2 linked regions of the Elephas maximus indicus genome follow. The protein of the gene in region 1 purifies or fractionates together with the protein of each later gene. This does not show direct contact. Links are inferred from orthologs where the notes say so. Each region holds a gene or a part of one and is shown in the gene's direction. Other genes may lie near its edges. The genes, in order: OS9 and SERPINA1.

What was found.
Region 2: the proteins of OS9 (region 1) and SERPINA1 purify together in Homo sapiens (affinity purification with western blotting; 4 studies listed by BioGRID). This does not show direct contact. The link is inferred for Elephas maximus indicus from reciprocal best matches to the Homo sapiens genes OS9 and SERPINA1.

What each region holds. Positions count from the first base shown.
Region 1 is NC_064822.1:117,596,778-117,607,371, forward strand, and holds the start of OS9 (protein OS-9), read left to right. Parts: upstream 1-6,345; 5' UTR 6,346-6,379; coding exon 6,380-6,541; intron 6,542-6,964; coding exon 6,965-7,141; intron 7,142-8,013; coding exon 8,014-8,077; intron 8,078-8,208; coding exon 8,209-8,285; intron 8,286-8,514; coding exon 8,515-8,613; intron 8,614-10,594. UniProt on the Homo sapiens protein: Lectin component of the HRD1 complex, which functions in endoplasmic reticulum (ER) quality control and ER-associated degradation (ERAD).
Region 2 is NC_064828.1:107,953,373-107,963,312, reverse strand, and holds the start of SERPINA1 (alpha-1-antitrypsin), read left to right. Parts: upstream 1-5,266; 5' UTR 5,267-5,418; coding exon 5,419-5,603; intron 5,604-8,594; exon of another isoform or gene 8,595-8,618; intron 8,619-9,940.

The sequences.
Region 1 (10,594 bases):
TCCTGCAACACTTTTGTAAATTATTCTCTGTATTAAATTCCCTGTGTTTGAAAAACCTGGAGTTGTTTCTGTTTTCTCGATTGCACGTTTACTGGCACAAATAGATTGTCATCTTTTGAGCCTCTGGTATCAATTTTCTCATTGACTAAGTCAATCCTTTTTGTTTCAGTTTCTGTTACAGCAGTACTCTACTTCTACTGTCAGTTTCTGTGTTAGTTAGGGTTAGTAGTGTTAAACACAACCCTAAAGTTCAGTGAGTCAACAAAAGTTTTTACTTGCTCATAGTAGAGCCTAGCATAGGTTGTAAGTGGTGGTGGTAGGATGCTCTGCACCACGCATTCATTCAGGAATCCAACTGACAGAGGTCCACCATCTTCAACATGTGGCAGCCAAGGTCTTTCTGGGAGTTGCTATCTACCCTGCATGTGGTGGATGAAAAAGAGTGTGGAAGAAAACACAGAGCATTTTAGGATCTAGGCATAGAGTGGTGGCCATCACTTCTGCCCATATTTCACTGGCCAGAACTGAATCATGTAGCTCTACCTAACTGCAGTATGTGTTGGTAAAGGTAGTTTATCTGTGTGACCAGGAGGAAGATAAAACTAGTTTGATGAAACATTGCATTGTCTCTACCACAACAAAGTTGCTTTTATTTATAATTTTCATGATATATCTTCTCCACATTTTTATTTTATTTTTTAAATAATTTTTATTGTGCTTTAAGTGAAAGTTTACAAATCAAGTCAGTCTCTCACACAAAAACCCATATACACCTTGCTAAAAAAAAATACACCTTGCTACACACCCCCAATTACTCTCCCCCTAATGAGACAGCCTGTTCTCTCCCTCCACTCTCTCTTTTCGTGTCCTTTTCGCCAGCTTCTAACCCCCTCCACCCTCTCATCTCCCCTCCAGGCAGGAGATGCCAACATAGTCTCAAGTGTCCACCTGATCCAAGAAGGTCACTCCTCACCAGCATCCCTCTCCAACCCATTGTCCAGTCCAATCCATGTCTGAAGAGTTGGCTTCAGGAATGGTTCCTGTCCTGGGGCAACAGAAGGTCTGGGGGCCATGACCACCCTGGTCCTTCCGGTCTCAGTCCGACCATTAAGTCTGGTCTTATGAGAATTTGGGGTCTGCATCCCACTGCTCTCCTGCTCCCTCAGGGTATATTTTTATTTTTAATTATTTTGTATCCTTACATTTTAGATGTTCTTCTCTATAAACAGTATATGTCATATTTTATTGACTCTTAGACACACACTTTTTCATATTTTAATACACTCATATTTAATACTCTGAAATTGGGATGGATCTTACAACTGATAGTACGCCGTGGGTAAATTGGTCCTGCTTATATCCTTTTCGGTGTTAGATATAATAATGGTGTTACTTGAAATAAGTGACTTCATAAATTTGGTATTTTTTTCTCATTTCATTTTTCCCTTTGCTTTGGAGGTTATACACTCTTTCCGTACTCCTTTACTGGTTATCTACAACATAAATATAAATATTTGGCTTATCGAAATCTAAACATCAGTGTTGTCTGTATCACTAAGGGTTCAGCCAGAAAAACAAAAACCACATTACATGCTGTTATGGATTGAGTTGTGTCCCAAAAAAATATGTGTTGTGAATCCTAACCTCTATGCCTGTGGTTATAATCCCATTTGAGAAAGGGGTTGCCTTTGTTATGCTAACGAGACAGGATTAATGTAGGGTATATTCTGAGTCAATTTCTTCTGAGATATAAAAACAGCTAATCAAGCAAGCGAAAGAAGCAGACATGCCAAGCTACGTGAAGATCACCCAGGAGCAGAAGCCCAGAAGAGACAAGGACTTTTCCCCAGAGCCAACAGAGAGAGAAAGCCTTCTTCTAGAGCTGGCACCCTGAATTTGGATTTCTACCCTCCTGAACTGTGAGATGATACACTTCTGTTTGTTCAGGCCACCCACCTGTGGTTTTGCTGTCATAGCAGCACTAGGTAACTAAGACAGGCTTTAACAGGGAGAATTTAATAGACAGAGTTGATGAAACAAATGTTGGAGGAATGAAAAAGCAAAAGGGAACATGGAGGTATCACAGAGGAGCAGGGAGCAGCTACTGCTCCTGGAGCTAGGGAAGCAAAAGGAAGAGACGGGGGTTATCACAACTAGAGCGTCAGATGAGGCACCCGGTAGAGCTGAGTTCCCTGGTTGTTCCTGGACCTCTGCGGGGGTACAATGAAGCTGGTTCTGGAAGAGCAAGAAACAGAAAGAAGGAAACCCATTTCTTCCTCCTCTAGCTTTCTAGTCTTTCTCCAGCAGAACTGATAGAACGTAAGAGTGAGTTGGCTGACAAAAAAAAAAAAGATGGTTTGCAGATCATCAGCCCCAGCATCAGAGTGGCATTCAGAAGGGTGGATTTGTTGTTGATTTTGCTGTTGATTTGTGACTTAGGAGACCCCATGTGTTACAGAGTAGAACTGCTCCATAGGGTTGTCTTGGCTGTAATCTTTACGGAAGCAGGCCTGTTTCCAACAGCTCGGTGCAGCGGAGTGGTTTCCAACCACCAACCTTTTGGTTACCAGCTGAGTACAAACCATTTGTGCCACCCAGGGACCTTTAGAAGGGTGGATTTGAAGATGAAACACATAGCTTAATAATTGGCACACTCTCCTTGCAGATAATTTCAAGAAAACTAGAACAAGTTGACTTGACTCACCTACCTCCTAATGTATATGTAATTGTTTCAATGAGTTTTAATTCCATCTTGATATATAAACTCCAGAATACATTACTGTTGTTGCTTTATACAGTCAATATTCATGTCAGTTTTAAAACATATTTCCCATTTTTGTTATTCTTCATTTCTTCTTATATGTCAGACCTCCCATCTAGGATAACTTTCTTTTGTCCAAAGTATATTCTTTAGAATTTTCCTTCGTGAGAATCTTCTGGCTGCAAATTCTTCTGGTTTTTGTTTGTCTGAAACTCTTTGTATTTCACTCTCATTATTGAGAGATATTTTCATGGGGCATAAAATTCCCAGTAGAACCAATTTTCTTTCAATATACTGAAGATGTCATTGACTTGTCTTCTGGCTTCCATGGCTGCTATTGAGAAGTCAGTTCTCAGTCTAACTGCTGCTCCTTTAAAGGTAATCTGTTTCTCTGGTTGCTTTTATTTATCGTGGTAAAATTTACATGCAGTGAAATGCACAGACCTTACCTGTTACAGATCAGTGAGCTTTGACAAATGTTTACACCAGTGTAACCCACATTCTGGCACCTTTTAAAGACCTGCTCTTTGTCTTTAATGTTACTGAGTTACACTATGGTATGTCTATTTACTGACTTCTTTTTATCTATCCTGCTTGAAATTTGTTAGGCCTCTTGAATCTGTGGATTTGTATTTCTCACCAGTTTTGAAAAATTCTCAGCCTTTATCTTTGCTGCATTTTTTCTCTCTTTTCCTTCCAGAATTCCAGTTAGACATGTGTTAGATTTCTGACTTTACCCTCCATATGTCTTATACTCTCTTTGTTGCTCTGTGCTTCACTCTGTATAATTTCTTCTGAACATCATTAATTCTATCTTCAACTAAATCTAAACTGTTGTTAAAATTACTCCCTGCGTTTTTTAAATGGAAAATTTCAAACACAATCAAAAGTAGAAAGTAAAGAATCATGAACCCCATGTACCTATCATGTAGCTTTAAAAATTATAAAATACGATTAATCTCACTTCATCTATATCACCACCGCTTCCCCCCAGATTCTTACAGGCATCATACCATCTTACTGGTAAATACATGAGTTCGTATCTCTAAGAGATAAGGGCTAATTTTAACATAAATATAATACTGTCCCAAAAAACATAATACTGTCCAACAAAATAATAATAATTCATTAATATCATATAATATCCAGTCAGTGCCCATTTTCCTGACATAAAAGTATTTTCATAGGTAGCTTGATTCAGGACCCAATCAAGATCTATACATTGCATTTGGTGGATACATCTCTTAGACCTCTTTCAATATAAACGGTTTTCTTCATTTCTTAAATCTTGCAATGTATTTGTTAAAGGGATTGGGACATTAATCCTGTTTTATTCCTCATATGTTAAACAATCCTGTGGTGTTTAACGTATTCTCCTATTTCCCATATTTCCTGTAAACTGGTAGCTTTATTTAGAATCTTGGTTCTGCAAGAATCCTCCATAGATTCCGTAGATTCCATGCCTTCCTCTTTTTTTAACTAACTGACTTGTTCTGATGAAATACATCTTCTCCTATCTTTCTGAAAAGCAATGTATAGAGTGTTAATATTTTAAGGGCTTGAATATCTGAAATTGTCTCAGTTCTGGACTCATAATTAAACCATAGTTTGGCTGGATGCAGAATTCTGGTTGGAAATAATTTCCCTCAGAATTTTCAAGCCATTTCTCCATTGTTTTCTAGCTTTCAGAGTTGAGAAGCCTAACACTGTTCTGATTCCTGATCTTTGTATGAAACCTGTTCTTTTTCTCTGGAAGCTTTTAGAATATTTTCTCTGTCTCCAGCATTCTGAAATTCTACAATAATGCATCTTGGTGTGGGTCTGATTCGTTGTGCTGAATACTTAGTGTATCTTTTCAATTTGGAAACACAATCCTTCCATTCAAGGAAATACTTTTTAATAATTACACTGGTCATTTCTTCCCTTCTGACTTTCTGTCTTTCTGGAGCTCTTATTAATCAGACATTCTACCTCCTGAGCTGATCCTATATATATATATATATATATATATATATATATGATTTTTCCCCCTAAAGGAGAGCAAATTTGGTCTTCTTCAACTTTATCTTCTAGTCTTTCTATTCCACTTTTATTTCTGCCTATGGTTTTAATTTCCAAGAGCTCTTTTTGCTTATCTCAATAGTAGTTACTTTTTAAAATCGCTTATTGTTGTTTTCTCATGGATGCACTCTTATCTCTCTGAGGATATTAATGTTTGCTTTATTTTGTTTTCAGGACTTTTTATTTTTATTTATTTGTTTTGTCCCTTGAAATCTGTTTCCTCTCATTTGCTTGTTTTGGTCTCTTTCTCGTATAGTAAAGGTTTTCCTTAAATGCCTAATGATCCTTGGGCCTCTGCTTTTATCTAAGAATGAGCACATTAAAAGGCTCATTGGAAAGTCCATGTACGGGATAGGAATGCAGGCCAATGGCTTAACTGTAGGATTGGTTCAGCTATTTCACTGAAGGAATCCTGATGAGAGTATCTTGGGATTTCTCCCCCTGGCTGGTCAGATTCGCCAGAGAAGGTTTTTCAATGCCCTGCCTGGAGGTACAATCATGCCCTTGTTTACCTCTGTTGAGGAATCAACTTTCTCAAGTCTGCAAAGCAATTATCATTTCTCCATTTGCTTTCCAGCTTCCAAAATGTTACTGTTGTTGTCTCCTTTCTTTTTCTCTTTCTCTTTGTTTGATACAAATTACTAGATTGTCTTAAAGTTGTATGTATATATGAAAAGAGGTATGCTTCTGTACAATACCACCACCTGTCTCTGCCAGTTTGTCACGCTGTGGTGGCTTGCCTATTGTTATTGTGCTGGAAACTATACCACCAGTATTTCAAAAACCAGTAGGGTCACTCATGGTGGATAGGTTTCAATGGAGCTTCCAGACTAAGACTAGGAAAAAAGCCCTGGTGATCTACTTCCAGAAAATTAGCCAATAAAAACCTTACGGATCACAAGAGAATACTGTCCAGTATAGTGCTAGAAGGTGAGCACCCTAGGTCGGAAGGCATTATACAATAGCCACAATAATGAACTCAAACATATCAACTTTCACGAAGATGGCGCAGGACCGGGCAACGTTTTGTTCTATTATATATAAGGTCACACCACAAGTCGGAGCCAACTGGACGGCAACTAACAAACAAGTCTCTACAATAATTGTTGGGCAACAAATATTAAGTAACTTCAACGGGCATCACGCCCACCTGCCCTTCGGCCTAAATCCTCCGCCTTGCTGGGGCCTACTACAACGCAGAAGATATCCACCGAAGTAATAAGAGACGAATACAACGTCCGGGCGAAGGCCAGGCAGCCGCTGCAAAAGGCCGAGGGCAAAGACCGCACAGCCTGGAAGCGAAGAGAGGGTGGAAGGGGGTTTGATCTTGTCGATGATTGGTTGGCCTCTCTGACCAATCAAGTGCAGCGAGTGATTGGCCATTAGTTGTGATCCACCACCCGGTGAGCTTTGTAGTCATGCTTACAAATGGGAATAAGGTACGTAAGAGGGACAGCACTTATAGCCAATGAAACCTTGTGTTATTAATGGGCGGGATGAAGCCCCTGCCAGGTTTAGGGCGGAAAGAGTTGCTCGGGATAAGAAGGGGAACGAAAGATGGCGGCGGAAACGGTGCTGTCCAGTCTTTTGGGGCTGGTGCTTCTGGGGCTCCTGTTACCCGCAAGTCTGACCGGCGGTGTCGGAAGCCTGAACCTGGAGGAACTGAGTGAGATGCGTTATGGGATTGAGATCCTGCCTTTGCCTGTCATGGGAGGGCAGGTGAGGAGGCATAGAGGGGGGCGAGGATCCGGGATAGAAGAGAAAAATGTAGGGAAGGAAAACAGCTGCGGAGTCTGGGGCAGAAGCCTAAGGAGAGTCGAGAAGAGTAGAATGGGGTTTATGATGATTTCTGGGAATCACAGACTGAGCCCATCCCTTGGGGCCAGGGGCTGGGAGGGTGGGGCTTCCCGCTGTCAGCCTCCAGGTCCCAGTCCCTGATGAACACTCACTTGACTCCGCCCGGATGGCCAAGTGGGAGTGTTCTCTCCCCTCACCCACCGAGCACAGCTGGAGGACTTGTGGGTTCATTCTGTCTCCAACTGGGCTTTTCCCCAGGGTCTGAAGAGGAATCTCATTGTTCTGCCTGATCCTAGCCTCTCTTTGCCTCCCTGCTCCCCTACCCCCACCCCCCTGCTTTCCCAGAGCCAGGCTTCGGACGTGGTGATTGTCTCCTCTAAGTACAAACAGCGCTATGAGTGTCGCCTGCCAGCTGGAGCCATTCACTTCCAGCGTGAAAGGGAGGAGGAGGCACCTGCTTACCAAGGGCCTGGGGTCCCTGAGTTGTTGAGCCCGATGAAAGATGCTCCTTGCCTGCTGAAGGTAAAAGGGACTGGAATGGATGGAACAGGGCTTGGGCACTAACAGACCATGCGAGAACCAGAGTGCTGGTGAATGAGGAGGGATCTAGAGGACCTGTAGGAGTTAAGAAGGCTGCTGGAGGAGTAGACATACAGACAGGAAAGGAGCAAAGAATCCTGCAACCACCGATGTGGCTCTGCCAGTGTAGAGGAGGGTTAGGATAGGAGATCTCAGAATAAGGGCTAAACAAAGATTGAGGTGCCTAAAGAGGGGCAGTGTGGGATAGGAAGGGCACCTCCTTAGAGAAGCCTTCCTAGTAAACCCTAGCAAAGTCACCTCCTGCCCCAGTCACTCTCCATCCCACTATCCTATTTTCACCCTAGCACTTTTTTCTGAAATCATCCTGTTAACAGAATCATCAGTTTGTTTATTTATTTACTTATTTTTGGTCTGCTTCCCTGCACTGGAATGTAAGTTTCATGAGGTCAGGGAATGTGTCTTGTTCACAGCTGTATCCCTAATGTCTAGAACAGTGCAAGGGATGTTGTAGACAGTTAATTAATATTTGAGATTGGGGTCTTCTATGTTTCCCTGGTCTGAGTGCTTCAAGGATACCATGATTCTTTTGTCTTTACTGAGGGTAAAGAAGGATTTAAATATATATGGAAGGAGTGGAAAGACCACAGGTGGGAAACAGACTTTAGAGGTACCACCCCAAGCCAGAGAAAGAAAACAGTGCTGTCTGCTCACTGAGAATTTGGGGAATTGCATGTGGACTTGGAGAGAGATATCAGTAGATGAGAAGTTGTATGTCCTGGAGCCAGGAGAGATTCTGGTTCCCAGGTGACACATCCCCACTCCATCCCCCTGATTGTCCATTTTTTTATTGTCAGACAAAGGACTGGTGGACATATGAATTTTGTTATGGACGCCACATCCAGCAGTACCACATGGAAGGTGACTCCCTTCTCTGTTCTCCCTAAGCCCTCAGCCACATGTTGTGGCAGGTGACCTGACTCCCCAGTCCCCTTCCCTCCTCGCATCTCTCAGAAGGGAGTAATGGTGCTCCACTGTGATTACTTTTGCAGATTCAGAGATCAAAGGCGAAGTCCTCTATCTTGGCTACTACCAATCGGCCTTCGACTGGGATGACGAAACAGCCAAGGTGGTAGAAGTGTGGGATTGGGAGGGAAGGGGGTCCTGGCTGCATCCTGAGAGCCCTGGCTTAGGGTTAGAATTGGCTAGCATATTTTCGGGACTTGGTGGCCATTAGGACAAAGGCCCCTGGGGCCTGGATTCCCAAGGCCTGTAAGGTCCCCGTGGGGGGTTAGTGCTGTTCTTCCTCCTTGCTAACTTTCTCGTCCCCCTTCTCTCCTGCCTGCTATCCTTTCCAGGCCTCTAAGCAGCATCGCCTGAAGCGCTATCACAGCCAAACCTATGGGAATGGGTCGAAGTGCGACCTCAATGGGAGGCCCCGGGAGGCCGAGGTTCGGGTGAGTCTTGAGAGAGGAATGTTGACACTCCCTCAGTGACAATTCAGATTCCAAGGAAAGAGGGCAGAGTTGCATCTTATGGTCAAGTGAATCTCTCCCAGACAGACATATTTCAGTTGCCAGCTGGATGTTGCTACATGGATGTTCAGAGGTTCTTCAGGTCAACAATTCCTACATCTTCCCCCTAGCATCCCCAACCACATTTACTCTTTTTTCCATATTTCTCTTTTCTGTCGCCTGAACTAGAAACCTGAGTACCATCCTTGACTCTCCCTTCTCTTTCATGTCATCCTTCCTTTCTTCAGTTAAAGACTCTCCAGTAAGCTCTTGCTGTATGTAGGTCCTGGGCTGGGGTCTGGGGACACAGTGGTGGGCAAGCAGACGCATCCCTTGCCCTCTTGGAAGTCATGTTAGCAAAAGAACCCCAGAAAGGAGCCTATGATTACAAACTGAGAAGTGATATGAAGGAGCTTAGTTCTCTGAGAGTAAATAACAAAGCCTATGCATTCTACTTCTAGATATCTCTCAAAACTCTTTGTCCCTGTGGTTGGTACCTTCACCTCCCTCCTGCATCACTGCCCACACCCTCTTAACAGGTGTTCCCGATCTAGTGGTCCTTAACTAGGGGGGTGGGCCCGCAGGTGTATGTTAAAGGTCCTCAGGTGATCCTAATGTGTATTCACAAACACCGTAGAGACCCACATGACACCTACCAGAGTTATTGTTCTGTAATACAGATTTGCATTTGAGGTGGTGTGCTGCAAGTGTTGAACACCCAGATTTCTAGGGGGGCAAAGCCCTGATTTTTAGTGTTTGCCAGTTTCAAGCTATCAGTGTGACATCAGTTGGCTTGCAAAATCTCTGAAAATTTACCAGTCAGCTCTTGTGAGCTAGTGTAAGCTGGCTTCAGAACATCACTGTAAGCACAGGTCACTTCTCTGCCCAGTCCTAGAAAACCTTCAGTGATTGTGCGTTGTCCGAAGGATGAGGTCCAAATGCCTCACACAGACCAGGGTGGTGCCAATGGTGGCACTGAAAAGTGGATGGCTTCTGCATATATTTTGAAGGTAGAACCAATAAGACTTGTTGATAGATTGGATGTAGGGTGGAGTCAAAGCTGGCAGTCATCAACATATTGGTTATGTTATGGATGAAAATCCCTCAAAAGGTAGTGTCAAAGGTTTTTAGCCTGAGCGACTGGAAGGATAGAATTGTCATTTATTAAAGTGGGTAGGAGTGGGTTTAGGGGAGGAAATTAGGGGTTAGTTTTGGATACATGAAAGTCTAGATGTCTATTAGACATCCAAGTGGTGATGTCTAGTTGGTAGTTGGCTCTGTGAGTCTAGAGTTCAGGTACTTGGTCTGGGCTGGAGATATAAATACTGCATTTCTGCCACACTGGCCTTCCTTCTATCCTTTGACCCAGTGGTTCTCATTGTTCCTTCTTCCTGGAGCAGTCTTTCCACAGATCCTGGAGTGGCTGGCTCCATCCCCTCATTTAGGTTATATTCAAATGATACCTCCTTAGGGAGATCTAATGTAGACACACACACACCTCTGTCCTGGTTCTTGTAAATACCTACTATGTTTAATATTCTTCAAAGCATGTATTATCATCTGAAGTTATCTTATTTGTTTAATATCTGTCTCCCCCAACTAGAATAAGCTCCAGGAAGGCAGGGACAGTGTCTGTCTTGTTTCCTGCTGTATCTTCAGTGCCTGGAACAGTACCCAGCACCAACGGGGTGCCCAGGAATTATTTGTTGAATGAGTGGAATGGATAAGCCAGTTCAAATGTCACTTATTTTCTGTGACTTTTCTTGACAAACCCAGAAAGATAGTTGTGTTCCTTCAGCGCTTCATATGTGTACACCCACATGCACATATACACACAGGCATCCACACAGGTAAATAATCTGTCATAGCACTTACTTCATTGTATTCTAATTATTTCTTTGGGTGTTTGTACCTTTAATAGGCC
Region 2 (9,940 bases), on another chromosome or scaffold:
CACTCCACACCATTTCCATCTGTCTACTACGGCCCCAGAAGGGCCAAGGGCACGTGGGAGGGAGCAACCAAGATGTGATTTTAGATAAAGAGTTGATATTAGAGGTCTCAGATTGAAGGCCAAGGTGCAGCCATGACCGTCTGTGGTGGGGAAGAGTAAGAAACAAATCTTGGAAATGAGATGGACAGAAGGCAAGAGGCCAGGGGCTTAGAGGGGCACCCATGAGGACACTGAGTGATGCCAGAGAAGACCAGGCCGGGCCCAGGTGCCCATGTCCAGTGATGCTGGGGGTGATCCCACCACCTGTCTGTCAGTTTGTCCCACTGTGGTGGTTTGTGTGTTGCTGTGATGCTGAAAGCCATGCCCAGGTATTTCAAATACCAGCCAAGTTACCATGATGGACATGTTTCAATGGAACTTCCAGACTAAGACAGACTAGGAAGTAAGGCCTCGCAACCTGCTTCGAAAAATCAGCCCATGAGAACCCTTCAGATCACAATAGAACATTGTCTGATGGAGTGCTGGAAAATGAGACCCTCAGGACTGAGCAACATTTTGTTCTGCTGTACATGAGGTCACCAACAACCACAGGGTGTGATGCACAGGCCTGTGGATGTCAGGGGTGAGGTTGGGAGAGCATGGGGCCATCCAGGGAGGCTGTGTAACTGCAGGAAGAGGAGAGGTTGGGAGAGCATGGGGCCATCCAGGGAGGCTGTGTAACTGCAGGAAGAGGAGAGGTTGGGAGCCAGCAGGGAGGCCGGGAGAATCAGACCTGCTCTTGCACCCAGGGAATGGTGCCATTTGCTTGTTCCTGGCATGGGGACATGTGAAGAGAGTCCCTATCCAACGGAGCAGGGAGGGTTGGCAGAAAGAGATCTCAACAGTAAATGAGTCCAGGGAATGTTGGAGAGCAAACAACCCCCACTGGAGAGGACTCGAGGAGAAGCAAGCTTCTCTGGGGGAGTCGGGGCTCACTATCTGTGAGTACACAGGAGGAGGAACAAGGGGTGACAGGGGCCTGAGCCCCAGAACAGAGAGGGGCGACAAGGAGCAGCAACAGGAAAGATGTTATGCAACCCCCCATCCGGCATTTCATCATCTCAGATGCTGCCAGCCAGCTGTGGACCTGCCTTCAGAGAGTTTATTCCTTCCTGGCATAGGGGGTGGTGAGGGGTTGGAAAGAGATCCTATCCAAGGAGGTGGGAAGGATGGACAGAAAGAGACCTGAACAGGGAGTTCAGAGATCTGATTCCAGCCCCAACACCTTCCTGGCTCTCACCCCATATGTCAGCCCTCCGACCTGTCATCCATCTTTCTGCCCCTGCCTCCTGTTCATCTCTCATATCCACGTCTCCTCCCTCCCCGGATTTCTGGAAGAGCCTCCATGTTCCCCGGCTTGGCCCTCACCAGAGCGTGAGTTCCAGACAGTGGGGACCATGTCTTCTCACCTTTGCAAACCCAGAGCCTAGTGCAGTTGCTGGCACCCAACAGGAGAGCAACACATGATATTTAGAGAGTGAATGAATAAATGAGCAGGTACACTAATAGATGGGTGAATGTAAGGAAGACAGCCCTATGAGCTGATTATAGATGTAGGAAGGAAGGACATGTAGGAAGGAAGGGAAGGCAGGAGGGAGGCAGGTTGGCTGCATTTTCAGCACTGTGGTAGCGGTCTGTGCCTCAGTTTCCCCATCCACACTAAGGGGAGAATAATGGCGCCCACCGCAGGGGATTGCACGTGAATACACATAAAGCATCTAGAACAGAGCCCAGCAGGTAATAAGCACCTGAGAAGCATCAGCTGTGATGCAGGTGATGATAGACCGCACACGGGAACACTTTGGGGATTTGTATTATAAAATGTGAGCAAACAGAAATGCTTAAAGTCAACATGAAGGGAAGTCAACAACGGGGACTGAACCGCTTCAACCCAAGGTCGTGAGGCAAGTTCTAGACGCCCTATCGCTCCCTGTTATCTGAGCCGCCCACACAGGACATGTGCCTCTGAAAAACAAGTCTCAATGTCCTGCTGGGTCTCCATGTTCCCCTCGGGGGTGAGTCCTGTCACCCAGCCCTGCCTGTGCCACCCCTCCCTCTTCCCTTCCAACAGGGTGCCCCAGAGAGGGTCAAGGACAACACTCAATGTCCAGGGGCCGGGAACGGTGAGGATGGGCTGGGACATGGTGCCCTGACTACAAAGCCCGCATGTATGCTCCAGAACGTCGTACAAAGAGCCTGCTGAAAGGAGAACAGAGAAAAATTAAAGGGGCTCCTACTGGCCGAAATATGAAACGGGGAACACCAGAAGGGAAATGATCATGACAGTTAAACAGGACAGGTTGAGTCTCCTAAAAGCTGCGAGTCCATAATGGCACTCAAAGGGTAAAATTACAGTGTTTTATTGTACTTAGGTGCACTGAGTCAGTTCCAACTCATAGCGACCCTGTGTACAACAGAACCAAACACTGCCTGGTCCTGTGCCATCTTCCTGATCATTGTTATGCTCGAGCCCATTGTTGAATCCACTGTGTCAATCCATCTGGTTGAGGGTCTTCCTATTTTTCACTGACCCTCTACTTTATCAAGCATACTGTCCTTCTCCAGGGACTGATCCCTCCTGATAACGTGTTCAAAGTATGTAAGACAGTCTCGCCATCCTTGTTTCTAAGGAGCATTCTGGTTGTACTTCTTCCAAGACAGATTTGTTTATTCTTCTGGCAGTCCATGGTATATTCAGTATTCTTCACCATCACCACAATTCAAAGGCGTCAACTCTTCTTTGGTCTTCCTTATTCATTCTCCTGCTTTCCAAATTACAGTGCAGGAAAGGTTAGTTATAATAGAATGCTTATTTTATTTATTTTACTGAGTGGGGGATGAAACTATAAATGTACGTTTTATTCCTTCTATTAACTATATTGTCCCTTACAACGCACCGATATCTTTATTTTTCTCTATCTGCGTAGGCTGAGGAATGAAAACAAGGAACTCTGAATTTGTCGGATAGTTTCAGAAAGTTCAGAAATTGTACCAAGTATAGGAAGCAGCGCTGGAGGTTGAACACAGGAAGGACCAGGGTCCGCCTGGATGTTGCAAGTTGGCAGGTTCACAAGAGTGCCAGGAGGAGGCGAACCAAGTGTGCAAACGCTCTCCATCCCTGGTAATAGCCCTAGTAATTAAAGTGCGTTCTGAGAAGGCAGCCACGTGTCAACCATGCCGGCACAATTGTTAAATACACACAGGCAGCACCTTAAAGCCACCTGTGAGAAAGAGACTCTTATTGTCCCCATCTTACAGATGAGGATGCTGGGGCTCAGCAAGGCGAAGCAAAGCCCTTCCCCCAGTGAGTCCCAGGCTGCCCGGCTTCCGCTGCCCCAGGCCCACCTGGCTACATTGCACCTCACAGGTGCTCAGGTAGACGCTAGTTGCATCTCCAGGAAGCAACATGAACACAGGCCCCTGGAGAAAGGATGGGTGGCCTTCTCAGATAAGTGGAAGCCTGAATCTGAGGAGGCATCCCTGGTCTAAGAGAGATGCTCCCAAATGGGGACCAAAGGCAGGGGTCTTTCTCCCACTCTCAGGCCTCTGGGATCCACCTGAAATCTTTTCCAGACCAGGGTACATTCCCATAGACCATAACAGCAGTTGGCATTAACTTGGGGCCATGTGCCAAGACTGCCCTAAGGGCTTACATGTTATATAACCCTCGTGGAAGTGAGTGACAGTTCATATGCCCATTTTACAGATGAGGAAACTGAGGCACAGAGAGATTACAAGGCTTGTCTAAGATCATGCAAAAAGAAAGGGGTGGAGTTAAGGCTTGATAGCTTAGCCCCTGAGTCTGTGCTTAACAGACCCTGGAAACGGGAAGGAAATCTGAGAGGGAGGGCATGTGGTGTGTGTGTGTGTGTTGGGTGGGGGGGCAGTACAGGCTGGTTTCCACACTTTCCTGCAAATGGGTTCAGCTCCCCTGAAATCCAGGGGACTCCTGAGCAATCGACGATCCTTGGTCCTTGGTCTACTTGGCCCAGGACCCTTCTTCAGCACACTCCACTCCTCACTTTCCTCCTTGTTGGAGACTCGGCATCTCAGCTCTCAGGCCTCTCCCTATCCTACACAGTGGGGCTCCCATTCCTTTGCAGGGCCCTACTGGAGACCCTGCTTGGTGTAAATAGTAAAGCGCTCAACTATAAACTGAAAGGTTAGTGTTTGAATCTATCCAGAGGTGCCTAGGAAGAACGGCCTGGTGATATAAAAAAAGGTGATATACTTCTGGAAAATCAGCCATTGAAAACCCCTAAGGAGCGCACCTCTGCTCTGACATGCGTGGGGTCGCCGTGAGTCATTGAAAACCCCACGGAGCGCACGTCTGCTCTGACCTCTGCTCTGACATGCGTGGGGCTGCCCCGAGTCACTGACAACCCCACGGAGCGCACGTCTGCTCTGACCTCTGCTCTGACGTGCGTGGGGCCGTCGTGAGTCACTGAAAACCCCACGGAGCGCACGTCTGCTCTGACCTCTGCTCTGATGTGCGTGGGGCCGCCCGGAGTCACTGACAACCCCACGGAGCGCACGTCTGCTCTGACCTCTGCTCTGACGTGCGTGGGGTCGCCGCAAGTCAGAACAGACTCGACAGCAACTGGTTTTGTTTTGCTTTTTATGTTTTTACGGAGGGGCAGAGTCTCCCCAAATATCCGTCTCCAACCTATCCACACGATTTCCCGTGGTGCGGTCGTGCCCGGGGAACCCACCCAGGCGATGCCACAGGCAATTCCAGAAGGGACCCAGAGAACAAGATTCTCTCCCCCACCCCCTGCCCCATGGCCTCTGGGTCACGGGGTACAGTGTCCTTCGGTATTGGCCACTAACGCCTCCGTGTACTCTGTCCTTGTTCATTTTCCCAAATCACCCCACTCCTTCTTCTCAGGATGGGTACCCAGAGTCACTTCTGCAGCATAAAACACTAGGGGGAGAGTGGGAGTGAGGATGGGGAGATGAGGAAGCGCTGGGGATACAGCCCGGGACCCCTCACTCTCCCCTGCTCTTTCCTCATTCCTTCTGTAAATGTCCCCCCATCTGCCATCTCTCCTGCTCCTGCCAGGCTCTGTGATACACTCCTCTCCCCTGCCACACACCCATCACAGCCTCCAGGGGGCTCCCATGAGCATTTCAGGGGTGCCTCCGCCCTCTTCCCTCTGCAGCTGACCCAGGCACCTGCCAGATACCCTGTTCTAGGCCCTGAGCCAGGAGGGTGATGCCTGTCATCTCCATTAATCCCGAGCGGGTGTGGTCAGCCCTCTTACAGAGGCCCAGACCAGCCGGTAAGTCTTCCTGGGCCACAATGCTGGACCAACAGGGCAGCTGATAACGCGCAGGCCTGCCCAGGCTGAGAAGGGTGGGTCTGGCATCCACCTGGCAATGACAGCTTTGTGCAAGGCAGCATCCTGCCCCTGTGCCTCCACCCTCCCAGACCCGTGGCCTCCACTGCCACCGCAGCCTCCTTCCTCCTGGCCAGCAGACACTCACGACTTCCCCACACCAGCTGTGGAGGAAGAGGGATTGGACCACTGCAGGAGGCGCGTCATGCCCGCCAGGAATTCAAGGTACAGGGGGTGGTACCCTCTAGCCAGTCCCCAGGCCCCCTGGGGAAGGGCGCGGGGGGGGGTGCCTGCCAAGAGACCATTGCCCATCCAATACAAGAGTTGGGAGGGGCAGCTGGGCTTCGAGGTTGTACAGATGGGGAAACTGAGGCCCACAGAGGGGCAGAAGCTTACCAAGAAGGTATTGAAGGCACATCTCTCCAAGATGTGACGGGATATAAAATCCTGGGGGGATGCCCACTTGGCTAGATCAGGGGACAGCAGAAACACTGAAGCCAGGTGACAAAGCTGGGGGGTCCTTGCCTCTCTGAACCTCAGTTTCCCACTTCTGTAAAGGCAGGGGTACACACCACCTCCAGGGGTACTGTGAGTACTGAATGAGAGAATGCCTGGCATGGGGTCCAGCTTCCTGGAAGAAAGTTCTTAGAATGTCCCCCACCTCTAGTCAACCCCAAGACTCTCCACCCCACGACCACCTCGAGACGTCCCACCCCACCAGTCACCCCAATGCCCCCCATCCCACCAACCACCCCGATGTCCCCCACCCCACCAGTCACCCTGAGGCCCCTCACCCCACCAGTCGTCCTGAGGCTCCCGACTTCACCAGCTACTCTGAGGGCCCCACCCTATAAGCCACTCCGATGCCCCCACCCCACCGGTCACCTTGAGGCCTTCCCTGAGCACCAGCAGCAGGGTTTGTGGGTAAGGCAGCAGGGAGACCCTCCACACTGGGCAAGGATTAAGTGGGAGCCCTGGTCAGCATCAGAGAAGGCCTATTGTGCACATGTGACACTTGGCCCCGGGCTCAGCTTGAATGGCTACATTTAATCCTCACACTGCCCAGTCAGGTAGACACTGTCCTGGTTCCCATTCTACAGATGGGGAAACTGAGGCATGGGAAGGTTAAACAATGTACTTCAGGTCTCACAACCAGCGGAACCATATCCCCATTTTACAGATGAGGAAACAAGCACAGAGAGGCCCAGCGGCTTATCTGTGACCACTCAAAAAGGGAGGGGTGGAGTTAAGGCTTCAACCCACATAGCTTAGCCCCCAGGGGCTCAGCATTCAAACCCTGCCAACCTGGCTCTGACTCCCTGGTCTGAATGTTTTTGCTAGAGACAGAACCCCAAGGGGAAGGCAAAGTGGAGACTGAGGGAAGGAGAGAAGGAACAATGACACAGTCATCCATTAGCTCAGCAAATGTCTGCTTAGTGTGCTTAGTGCCACGGTGCCAGACTCAGGTGCACACGGACAGAGCAGAGCAGCTCCCGCGCGGAGCGTGTGTACAGAGATCAGCCACGAGTGTCGAGGGGTCCTCAAGTGTCTCCACGGTGCAAGCGCAAAGGGAGGGGGGCAGAGTGGGGGTGTGGGGTGATGGGTGCTGGCTTATTCAAAGGGAAAAACCTTTGTGACCGGGGGAGGTTTGAGTGCAGGTTTGAGCAGAGGCCTGAAAGAAGTGGGGGAAAAGTGTGCAGGCAAGGGGAACAGCCAGTGAAAATGCTCTGAGGCTGGAGCAGGCCTGAGAGGCTCCAGGGACAGCAAGGAGGCTGGCATGGCTGGAGCAGAGTGAGCATGGGAGAGGGTGCCAGGAGGTGAGTCGGAGAGGAAGGGGGCTCCTGGAGGTGTGGGCCACTGGGAAGGACTTGGGCTTTTTTCTCTGTGCAAGACAGGAGCCATGAAGCGTTTGCACAAGGTGCGATGTGATCTGACTTAGGTTTTTCAAGGGATTACAAGCAAGTGGAGCTGAGACTGGGGCTGGGGTCCTTCCGGTCTTACCCCCTAACACTCTCCCAACCACCATAGGGCACCCAAGGGCCTGCAATAGCCCCAGGGCTGAGCCACATTCCCAAGGAAATGGGAGCAGTCTCTGGGTGGCACAAACAGTTAAGAGCTTGACTATTAACCAAAAAATTGATGGTTCCAACCCACCTAGAGGGGCCTTGGAAGACAGCCCTGGTGATCTGCTTCTAAAAGGTCACATTTTTCAAAACCCTATGGACCAGTTCTACTCTGCAAGCACGGGGTCGCCATGAGTCGGAATCAACTCGACGGCAACCGGGTATTTTTCGTCTGTGGGTCACGTTGGTCTGCCTTGAATTGGGCCTCCTTCTGCTCAGAGCAGCCTGGAGATAAAGAGCCTACTGTGTGTCAGGGACTTTATATAAGCTGCTTTGTGTGGTCCTGGCAACAACGCTAGGAGGTGGGAGTGCCAACCAGGAGGCAGATAATGCATGAGGCAGATGAAAACACCCCCAGGATCAGAGAGGTGAAGCAGCTTGCCTGAGGCCACACAGCTCTTCGGTGGCAAATCCAGGCAAGAGTTGACCAGGATCAGCCTCACCCCAAAGCCAGGCTATCTTTGCAGATACACTCTGAGACCCCTGGCTGTGCCCACGGGTACCCCACGTCAGACTGATGTGGCCCTGTCAGCCCTGTCCTGCAGACCTGCCCCACCCTCTCCTCAGGGAAATCGCGAGCCTCTTTGTATCTGACGCTGGCTTGGTGACTTTGGATGAGTGGCCTCTCCTCTCTGGGTCTCAGTTTCCCCATCTGTCAAATGGGCTAATAACATGCTCTGACACCCAGGGCAGCAGTGAATCTTCAGCCCCAGGCGTTTGGAGGTGGCTGGCTAAATGGCAGCTCCTGCTCTCCGAGGACAGGGCAGCCACCAGGATTCAGAGCGGGGGCGTGGGGCTGGCAGAGCGGTGCTGTCCCAGGAGTCCCTGACTCATCCCACCCCACCTCAGACACAGCTGGTTTATGAGCTGAGAACAATGATCCTCTGTGGTGTGTGAAGTGGAGGGCTGTGCACTGCCCAGGTTGAGCCCATGTGCCTCGGTGCCTGGCCAACGGACTTTGTCCCTGTTTGCTCCTCTGATAACTGTGGTGACCTTGGTTAATAATCACTAGCAGCCTCCCCCCACTTGCCCCTCAGCGCCCACTGCTTAAATACAGACGAGCACAGGGCTCTGTCTCCTCAGCCTTGGTCAACACCTGGCCCTGGGACAGTGAGTCGTGAGTATGCCTTCTAATGGGGAGAGCCTCCAGGCGGGTGAGGGGATAGCCAGAGGCCCCAGGAGGATGGAGCTGGCTGGGTCTAGGCCCCCTGTCGCCATAGCAATAGCAGCCCTGGGGGGGCTCCCCCATACCTACCAGTGAATGAGCAGGCAGATGTGGAAGTGGGTGCTGGCTCCGCTGTCTGGGGACCCCAGGAAGGGCGAGGGCCAAGCTACAGCGGCAATGACAGTGAGAGCAGGCGTTTGTCTGCACAGCTCCGGCGCCTTTCAGGGTTACCTCCTTTTAGCCTCTCAGCCTCCCAGTGCTTGGCCACCATCCTCCTCCTCTTCTACAGATGAGGCGCTAAGGTGCAGAGAGGGGCAGTGCTGAGCCCAGGTCACTAGGGACCTGGGCCAGGAGCCTACCTGTCATCCAGGTCTCCATCATCTCCAGACATGCCTGAGAAACAGTACTGCGCTAGCCTGGGCCTGCAGGCATCGGTATGGGTCTCCCCCAGGCACGGGGGCCGCTGGGCACCCCTCAGGCACGGGAACATTGGCACGGGATGCCATCGTCAGGACTCCAGCTAACCTTTCTGAGTGCTTATTCTGGGTCTGGCAGCTGCTGAGCTCGGTGCAAAAATTAGCCAATTTTATCCTCACAACAACCCTCTGAAGTGGCTACTGTGATTATTCCCACTTTATGGATGAGGAAATTGAGGACAGGGAGGTTAAGAACTTGCCTCAAATCACACCCTGTTTGGGATTCAAACTCAGGCCGCCTAGCTCCTGACCCGGCCGCACTGCCAGCATGCTTCTCAGGCACAAGCTGGGGAACCAGAGCCTCGTCTATCCCTGGGGCCTCTCCAATGCTCAGTGACCTTTGACAGTTGCTCAACCGCCCTGTCCTCTTGTACAAAACGTAGATAACCTTTGCCCTCCCTCCCCTACACCTCTGCCCTCACTTGGCCCTGATCTCTGAGTGTTGAAAGGATTTGATTTTTCTGCCGTTGGTTTTTGGAGTTGGGCTACAAAGATGACCAAGGCCAGGCAGGCCAGGCTCCCCTATAACGCCTGGGAAAGGTCCACGGCAACACCCAAGGCTTCTTGAGGGCCTCCTGAGTGCCTGGCACTTCTCAGCTCTCAGTGCGTATTTAAACTGCACAACCAGCCTGTGAGGGGGGCGTACTCTTACCGTCTCCGCTTCACAGACCAGGAAGCGGAGGTTCAGAGAGGTTGAGGGACTTGTCCAAGGTCACATAGCTAATAGCCAGTTGAACTCAGGCAATCCACTGTCAGAGCCTCTGATCTCAGCCACTAAGCAATGCTGCCTCCCTTCAT